Macaca fascicularis: one gene and its partner. The protein of the gene in region 1 interacts with the protein of each later gene in a pairwise test. Links are inferred from orthologs where the notes say so. Each region holds a gene or a part of one and is shown on either strand. Other genes may lie near its edges.

Region 1 (4,210 bases):
CTGCCTGGACCCGCAAGAGGGCTCTCGAGACCCTGATGTGGGTGAGCAGTGACAGGAACCAGCTCCCGGAGGTGGTTCTTCCGAAGCTGGGCCCATCCCGTTTTGTAACCAGTAGCGGGGCTGTCCCTGCCACCCGGGACCCAAAAGTGTGGCCCGCTGGGGCCCCTGACCCTCTCCTGGGCTCCAGGTGCTGTCTCCTGTCTCCATCTCGGGTGCACATGCCAGGTCCCCTGGGTGCTGTGTGCTCCCCACTCCTTCACGCGTGGGCAGTCTCCCCATCCCTGCCCCAGCCCCCACCCTCACACCATCAGGTCAAGCCCCTGCACCCACCTGTCTGTCTGAACAAGAGTGTGGCCCTTCCCGCCCTCCCTGCAGTGACTGTGGCTTCCTGGGGACAGGAGGCGGCTGGGTGGAGATCTGGAAGCTGCTCCACAAGCCCTGCCCTGATAGCTGTGTGTCTCCGGGGAAGTTCCTGCCTCTCTCTGGGCAGCCTTGCTTTTCCCCACCAAAGGGGTGAAAATCCTTAGAACACGTCGAGTCTAGAGGTCAGCTACCCCATGCCCCAGGAGGCCCGTGCCTCTGCCAGTGGAGTCTGATCTTCCAGGGCTGGGACTCAAGGGGTTTAGGGTGTCCTGTCATTCCGGGGTTCCCCTGCTAGGCTCTGGAGGCCTCACTGTGAGGCCGGGGGCACTGCCTTGCCAGTCTGCGGGATGACAGGGTGAGGGGCCAGGTGTGCACCTCCAGCCCCCTCCCCATCCCCAAGGCCACCACGTGGACATGGAGCTGAAAGGTCAAATGTGCTTTAATGGGGGGTGGGTCCCAGGTCCTGCCTGGGCCCCGGGGAAGTGGCGCTGGCTGGGCCTGCCAGCTGCTTGGCCTTCCCTCCCAGCTTTCCCTTCTTGGCCGTCGAGGCCTTTCTCTTGCCGGGCAGACTGGGGGCTGGGGTGTTGGCGGTAGGGGGCCCCGGGTGGGGCGGCTGCTCCTCGTCGAGCGCCTTGAAGTTGAAGAAGTAGTCGACGTTGGACACGGTGTCCAGGATCTCAGGCACGCTGTAGTCGAAGGACAGCAGCTCCTCGGGCAGGCGCAGCGACCGGATGTCATCGGCTGGGTTCCCACCACTGCTGTCAGGCAGGGCCGGCCCGGGGACCTCGCACAGGGCACCCTCAGGCTCAGTGGCGCCTGGCAGGCAGTCGAAGAGCTTCATGGCGTCCTCGAGCAGCACCTTGTCAGGCAGTGCCAAAGCTCTGGCCGTCTCGGGGGCCTTGGCCTCGCCTGCTCCCAGGAGGGCCCCGTCCTTGGCCTCAGCCACCTTGAGCTCGCTGAGGCCTGGTGGGTACGTGGGCAGCCCAGGTCGGGCCCCGCCGCCCTGTAGCTCCTTGGCGGGGAAGGCCAGGGGTTCGGGCCCAGGGAAGTGGCCGAGGTGGCCCTGGAGGTGGCTGTAGGCGTCCGGGGGCAGTGTGGGCTCTGCAGGCAGCGTGATGAGTACAGGGGGTGGCTTGTTCTCCTTGGGAGGTGGAGGGGGTGGCGGGGCCGGGCCTTCCTCAAGTGGCGGTAGGGGCAGCTCCATGAAGGCGGCGGCGGGTCCCGCGTCCCCCACAAAGCCCAGAGCCTCTGGCCCGGGGCCCTCAGGCGGGAAGTAGGGCAAGAGGAACTGGGCCCCCCCCGGTGCTGGTTGGTAGTGGGGGTATGGGGGCAGCCCCGGGGCCTTGAGGTAGGGCTGCGGCTCCAGGAGGTAGCTGCCTGGGGCAGAGGGGCCCCCCACTGGCCCCCCGCTGCTTGCCGCCAGCTTGTACAGGGCCGACTGGCCCAGGTCAGGGGTGGTCCACTCAATCCGATAGATGCGGGGATCGAAGAAGCACCCGCATGGGGCCATCTGGAAACCTGTGGGCAGCAGGCAGGTGGCCTGAGAGCAGCCGCTGCCTGATGGGCCCAGCTCAAGCCTGGGGGCCTGTCTGGGGGATGCCACGAGAACCTTGCCATTGGGGGGCCCCTTTGGGGGACGACATAGGTATTGCTTTGGGGCCCTGGCTGGGTGATGGATAACACAGAGCTCGTCTTTGGGGCTCATCTGGGGGACCTGTGTGAAGCAGGGGAGCAGAGGCCATGCCTTCAGGCCCCCACCTAGGGACAGGGCAGGGGCAAGATGGGCCTGCCCTCAAACCCACTCCCAGCCTCATCAAGGGTTCAGGGGAGGCCGGTACCTGCTGGAGGGGCCGGAAACACCTCTTTCTCTGGGTCTGGGGGATGGTAGAGGTTCAAGGAGCCTGTGGACAAAGGTGCCCGGGTGGGTGGGGCCCTTAGGCGGGTGGGACCCTGAGCCCTCCCTAACAGGTGCCCCTGCCCACCCGATCGTACCCACGGCGGGAGGTGGCTCGGTGCAGGTGGGAGCGGGCTGGCTGCCCAGTGCCTCGGCCCCCTCCAGACTCTGGGGGCTGAAACCTTCCTGGGGAGCTGCAGGGGCATAGAAGGGTTTGGGGTGCTGCATGGGGCAATGGGGGGCCCAGCCCAGACAGGCCGGGAGGGCGGCAGTAGGAGCACAGGTGGCCCAACCAGAGAAGAGGCTGAGAACCCGGTGAGGTTCTGTTTGCCTGGTTACTCGGGGCAGCGGGTTCCAGCCTGCAGCCCGCCCACTGGTTGGGGTTCTGGGTGTTAGGGGCGGGCAGGGGCAGACGGTGGCAGAGACGGTCATCACGAGGGGAGGGAGGACTCTGGGCCAGGCCTTTGCCTCTTCCAGCAACACCCCCTAACAGCTTCGAGGCTGCCTCCTCCAGACAGGCTGCCCTGATCTCCACGGGCATGCAGGCTGAGGCTCCCCGGGTCCTGCATCTGCTACCTTCTTGGGGGTCAAGGCCTCTCTGGGCACGAGCAGCACCCAGCTTGGGGCAGGGCCCATGGAGGCGGCCAAGAGGTTTGGGGAAGATGGGGGCCAAGGAGGGGCTGCTTCAGGGTCACAGAAAGGCCTGGATTTTAAAAGAATAAAATTTATTGTACTCTCCTCGCCCCACGGTGCCCCTGGGAAAGCCTGAGGCTACTTATACGCGTTGGCCTTGTGCTTCGGCAAGAAGACGAAGTTGGGGGGCACTGGTCCAAGGAGCATCTCACTGTGGGAGGGCAGGTGGAAAGCAAGGTCAGGCCCAGGGCCTGCAAAGCACCCTCCATGACCCAGAGCCCTGACTCCAGCCCTGCACCTCCAGCCCACCCAGGCACCTGATGCGGATCCAGTCGGCGGCCTTCTGGCTGGCCATCAGCGTCTCCAGGTAGTCGCGGCCCAGGTAGTAGGGCGGCCGCTCGTTGATCCTCTGTGGGAGCCGTTCCAGCAGCCCCACGGGCACGTACCTGCAGGCAGGCGGGCAGGCAGCAGAACAGGCTTGAGTCAGCCCTAGTCAGCCGCGGCCCATGCGCCGCCCACCCCAGCCAGCCCCGGTGCCCACCGGCACAGGAAGGACAGCCACTCGAGCAGGAAGCGTCGGGTCTTCTCCACACCCTGCGTGTCCGAGCCCCAGTGCTCCAGGCCGTAGTTGGTAAAATCCCGCAGGATGTCCAGGCGCTCGGACGACGAGATGTCCCAGTGCCTCTGCTCCTTGATCTCCGTGAACAGCCACGGCTTGAGCAGGGCGCCACTGTGGGACGGGCGACGATCAGTGGGCCCAGCCACCAGCCTGCCTGGGATCGTGTGGCCCCTGCTTCCATGGCCTGGCCTGAGCTGGAGCCCAGACCACGAAACCTACTAAGCCTAGGAAGCCTCCCGGCTGTGTGCACACAACCTTCAAAGCCCAGGACTTTCTTTTCTTCTTTTCTTTTTTTTTTAGGCAGAGTCTGGCTCTGTTGCCCAGGCTGGAGTGCAGTGATAAGATCTCGGCTCACTGTACAACCTCCATCTCCCAGATTTAAGCAATTCTGCCTCAGTCTCCCTAGTAGTTGGGATTACAGGCGTGTACTACCACACCTGGCTAATTTTTGTATTTTTAGTAGAGATGGGGTTTCACCACGTTGGCCAGGCTGGTCTTGAACTTCTGACCTCAAATGATCGGCCTGCCTTGGCCTCCCAAAGTGCTGGGATTACAGGGGTGAGCCAGTCCACCTGGCCAAAGCCCAGGACTTTCAACCCACCATAATCAGATCCCATGGCAGCAGCAATTTTCAGTCCTCTCTGCCGCAACACAGCTGCAGCTCCTAACAGCGCTCTCTGCCCCTCCCAACTTGGGACCAA
Region 2 (4,309 bases), on another chromosome or scaffold:
CCCGACCTCAGGTGATCCGCCCACCACGGCTTCCCGAAGTGCTGGGATTACAGACACTAGCCACCACGCCTGGCTTAATGATTAAACTTCTTTCAGCACCAGCCCCACTGATGTCACAACTTCACCCATTAGTCAATAACTTGTCTTTGCTGAATTGGATACTAACTTTTAAATCATTTAAAAAATATTCTCTTAAATTTTATGTGCTATTTGCAATGTAATGGTTATCGACATGACACAGTTTTAAGTTTAATCTTCATCATCAACATTTTCTCTATCACTTTCTTCAGTTTAAGCAGTCAACAAAACCGCCGCTCCAGCCCTGATCTGTAGCATTTGCGGGTTTCCACCGTGTGACTTCCGCAGGACTGCCAAGTTCAAGCCGCCAAGGCCAGGGCACTGCTAGCAGCTGAGCTGAGCCCTGTTCTCCCTGCGTTTCCACTGCCCAGTGGCAACAGCTGTGAACGGCGGCAGGCGCATAGCGGTGGAAGAATAAGGAAAAGACCTTTTAAAAAAAGATACTATAATACAGAAGCCAGGCAAGGCGGCCCTGGCCTGTAACCCCAGCACTCTGGGAAGCAGAGGTGGGCGGGCTGATCGCTTGAGCTCAGGAGTTTGAGACCAGCCTGGCCAGCATAGGAAGGCCTCGTCAAAAAGACAAAATAGTAAAATGAATTTAATAAAATGAGGTTCAACTTTTACTCATGTTTGTACCTAATGACAAGCTCGTAAAACTGAAAAGTTCACTATTGGCTTCTGCCCATATGCTCCAGGCCGAGTAGGGGCCGGGGCCTCCCTGCACTGCGGGGTCACGGGTGCCCCGGGACCACTCCCCGAGCGCCCTCCGATCCGCATGCTCAGCGCAGCTCAGTTGGCGGCGCGCCACGGGCAGAGCGGGTTCAGCGGGGGACGGAAGCTCAGCGCGGAGACTGGAATCCCGCAGGCTCACTCCGCAGGGCCGCGGCTCCTCTCTGTGCAGGTGCTGGGCCCGCGGGGGCGGGCGACCAGGTCCGCACCGAGACCCAAGCGGGGAGAAAGCGAAGAGCGGAGGACGGGGCAGGCGCACCGGGAACCTCCGCCCCAACGCACGGCCGCGAGTCTGCAGCACTTGACACCTGCACTGCGAACGCCAGGCCGCATCCCGAGCTCCCAAGCCGCGAAGACGCGCGCCCGCTCGTGACGTCATCTTTTGCGGTCTCCCCGAGAGTCGGCAGCGGGCGCCGCCATGATGCGTTACGGAAGCCGATAGTTCTTGCCCGGCGTCACCCCGTCGTTCCGGCTCTCGACGTTGCCACAGAGCTTCCCGGAGACGCGGCCGCCACCCAGAAGCGCTCTCGTTGGAAGCCCCGCTCGTTGGACCCTGCTGCCTGCGCCGCCTCTGCAGCCCGCAGCCCGACGGGCGCCGCCATGTTGGGGTCCTAGCCGAGGGCGCGTAGGTGTCTTCATAAGATGCCGGGGCTGCGACGCGCGCTTTCCCCCAAGATGGCGTCCATGAGGGAGAGCGACACGGGCCTGTGGCTGCACAACAAGCTAGGGGCCACGGACGAGCTGTGGGCGCCGCCCAGTATCGCGTCCCTGCTGACGGCCGCGGTCATCGACAACATCCGTCTCTGCTTCCATGGCCTCTCTTCGGCGGTGAAGCTCAAGTTGCTACTCGGGACGCTGCACCTTCCGCGCCGCACGGTGGACGAGGTGAGGCAGGCGGGGCGCGCCGCGGCCTCCAGAATCCCAGCCTTCCCACCTCCGACCCGCACACCCTACTCCTGCCCCTGCTCCGGACCCTCCTCGGTCCCTCCCCCACCTTCCCATCCCCCTTCAGACTGTCAGCCTCCCCGGGTCCTCAGCCCTCACGCCCCCGCCTTCACGCCCCCTCCTCGCTCCTCCCGATCTCTCCCTCCAGTCCTCACCTCCCCCTGGGTCTTCATCCCCCGCCTCGATCCTCATCTCCCACCTCGGTTCTCATCCCCACCCTGGGTTCTCAGCAATTCCCCCCCGCACCTCCTCGCGCCCTGGGAATCCCCCCCTAGGGTCCTCACCTCCCTACTTTTCGTCCTCACCCCTACCTAAGTTTTCACCTCCCCTGGGATCCTCAGCCTCCTCCACGCCGGGCCCCGGGTTCTCACTACGACCCCCAGGTCCTCACTCCCCTCCTTGGGCCCCCGGGTACTCATCCTCCCCCGCCCCCGCCTCCCCCGCCCCCAGTCCTCACCACCCTAATCCCCCACCGTCCCAAAGCGACCGACTCTCGGGGCGGGGGTGCGCCGGCCCCAGCGGGGTCTCCCGTCGGGGACGCAGCCCCAGTGACCTGGGCGAGGGCGGGGGTCCCGAGAGAAACCCACGTGAGGAAGGGGCGGCCTGTGCTCTGTAGCTCCAGTGTCCGCTGACTGCATTTTGTTGTTCTCACCTCGCAAAGACCCCGGCCGCCCGGAGTGCTCTATGTCCATTTTACTCTTTTCTGCACGCCGTTTGGCGTCATTCCAATGAGTGGGTGTGTGAGGTTTGTTTTATTTTTCCTCAATGTTATATTGTATCTCTTTCCGTGCGAAATAAACCAAGTAGTTTTGCAGACTATTGAAGCCCCGTGGTTGTTTAAACGTTCCCGGCTACTGGCGTATTATATTATAGGTTGTAATTGTTTTTTATTGAGATATGACATGTATGGAAAAGTGCATTTTTGTTCAGTTTCACGAATAATAGTAGCATCGTGAGCCACTCCTGTGATCCTCACACAGGTGGAGATACAGAACCATGCCTGTTCCTTGGAAACCTCCCATTGGTAATCACAGCCTTCTTACTTTCCCCTCCCTCATTTTGGAAAGGTGATCATTTCTGTACCATCTCCCCGGTATTAGCAGTTATTTATGCACCCCTGAATGGCACAGCTTGATTGCCTGATTTGGACTTAGTGTGATGGTATCATAGTGTATTTTGTGTGCGGCGTGCATGTGTCCTTTTGGTGGACACCTTGACAGTTTCATCCAAGTTGCAGCTGAGTTGGTTTGATTTTCACTGCTCTGTGGTATTCCTTTGAGCACGAAGCTCTTTATCCATTCTATCACAGTGACACATTTAGCTTATGGCCAGTTGTGTGCTGTTGTAAATAATTCTGTTACTACATTATTGTGATGTGTTGCATCAGGTATTTGGAATCTTGGGATTTCTCTAGGGTATAATATCTAGGAGTGGAATTGTGGGGATCATAGGATTATGCCAAATTATTTTTCAGAGTGTTTTGTTTTTGTTTTTTTGTTTTGTTTAAGACCGGGTCTGGCGCGCTGTCACCCAGGCTGGAGTGCAGCTGCACAATCATGGCTCACTGCAGCCTTGACCTCCTGGGCTCAGGTGGTCTTCCCACCTCAGCCTCCTGAGTAACTGGGAATACAGGGTTTCACCATGCTGCCGAGGCTGGTCTTGAATTCCTGACCTCAAGCAGTCTGCTTGCCTCAGCCTCCTAAAGGGCTGGGATTACAGGTGTGAACCATGGCACTCGGCCTGCTTCTTGGTTTTCTGTTTTGAGAATTGTATATTCAAATCTGCTTTTAAATTCTCTTTTTTCCCATTGTTTTGTAAGAGTATCTTTTTTATTATTTATTATAAATGCTAGACGTCAGTCCTTTTTCAGTTACAAATATCTCCCAGTTGTCCTTTGACTTAGCTTCCTGGAATTCTTTTCTTTGTTTTTTTGTTTTTTGACCCCAGGCTGGAGTGCAGTGGCCCGATCTCTGCTCACTGCAAGCTCCGCCTCCCGGGTTCACACCATTCTCCTGCCTCAGCCTCCCGAGTAGCTGGGACTACAGGCGCCCGCCACCACACCCAGCTAATTTTTTGTATTTTTACTAGAGATGGGGTTTCACCGTCTTAGCCAGGATGGTCTTGATCTCCTGACCTCGTGATCCACCCACCTCAGCCTCCCAAAGTGCTGGGATTACAGGCGTCAGCCACCATGACCGGCTTTTGTTTTTCATTTTTTGTTTTTTTTTGAGACAGCGTCTCACTCTGTCACCCAGGCTGGAGTCTAGTGGTATAATCATAGCTCACTTTAACCTTGAACTCCTGGGCTAAAACAGTCCTCCCTCCTCAACCTCTGTACTAGCTGGTACAACAGATGCTCTGCCACCACGCCTGGCTAATTTTTGTGCGTGTGTATGAAGATGGTGGGGGGGTCTTACTATATTGCCCAGGCGGGTCTTGAACTAGCCTCAAGTGATCCTCCTGCCTTGGCCTCCTATAGTGTTGGGATTACAGGTGTGATCCTTGCGTCCAGCCTCTTCCTGGAATCGTGGATGAATAGAAACTCCTAGTTTTTACG

Evidence for each region.
Region 2: the proteins of PRR22 (region 1) and NELFA interact in a two-hybrid assay, tested with the Homo sapiens proteins (2 studies listed by BioGRID). The two-hybrid records come from large-scale screens. The link is inferred for Macaca fascicularis from reciprocal best matches to the Homo sapiens genes PRR22 and NELFA.

What each region holds. Positions count from the first base shown.
Region 1 is NC_088393.1:6,543,578-6,547,787, forward strand, and holds PRR22 (proline-rich protein 22), read right to left. Parts: upstream 2,837-4,210; 5' UTR 2,690-2,836; coding exon 2,356-2,689; intron 2,265-2,355; coding exon 2,202-2,264; intron 1,882-2,201; coding exon 803-1,881; 3' UTR 785-802; downstream 1-784. Other genes in the region: DUS3L (tRNA-dihydrouridine(47) synthase [NAD(P)(+)]-like), read right to left, coding at 3,029-3,101, 3,208-3,336, 3,432-3,620.
Region 2 is NC_088379.1:2,156,412-2,160,720, reverse strand, and holds the start of NELFA (negative elongation factor A), read left to right. Parts: upstream 1-1,467; 5' UTR 1,468-1,482; coding exon 1,483-1,692; intron 1,693-4,309. UniProt on the Homo sapiens protein: Essential component of the NELF complex, a complex that negatively regulates the elongation of transcription by RNA polymerase II.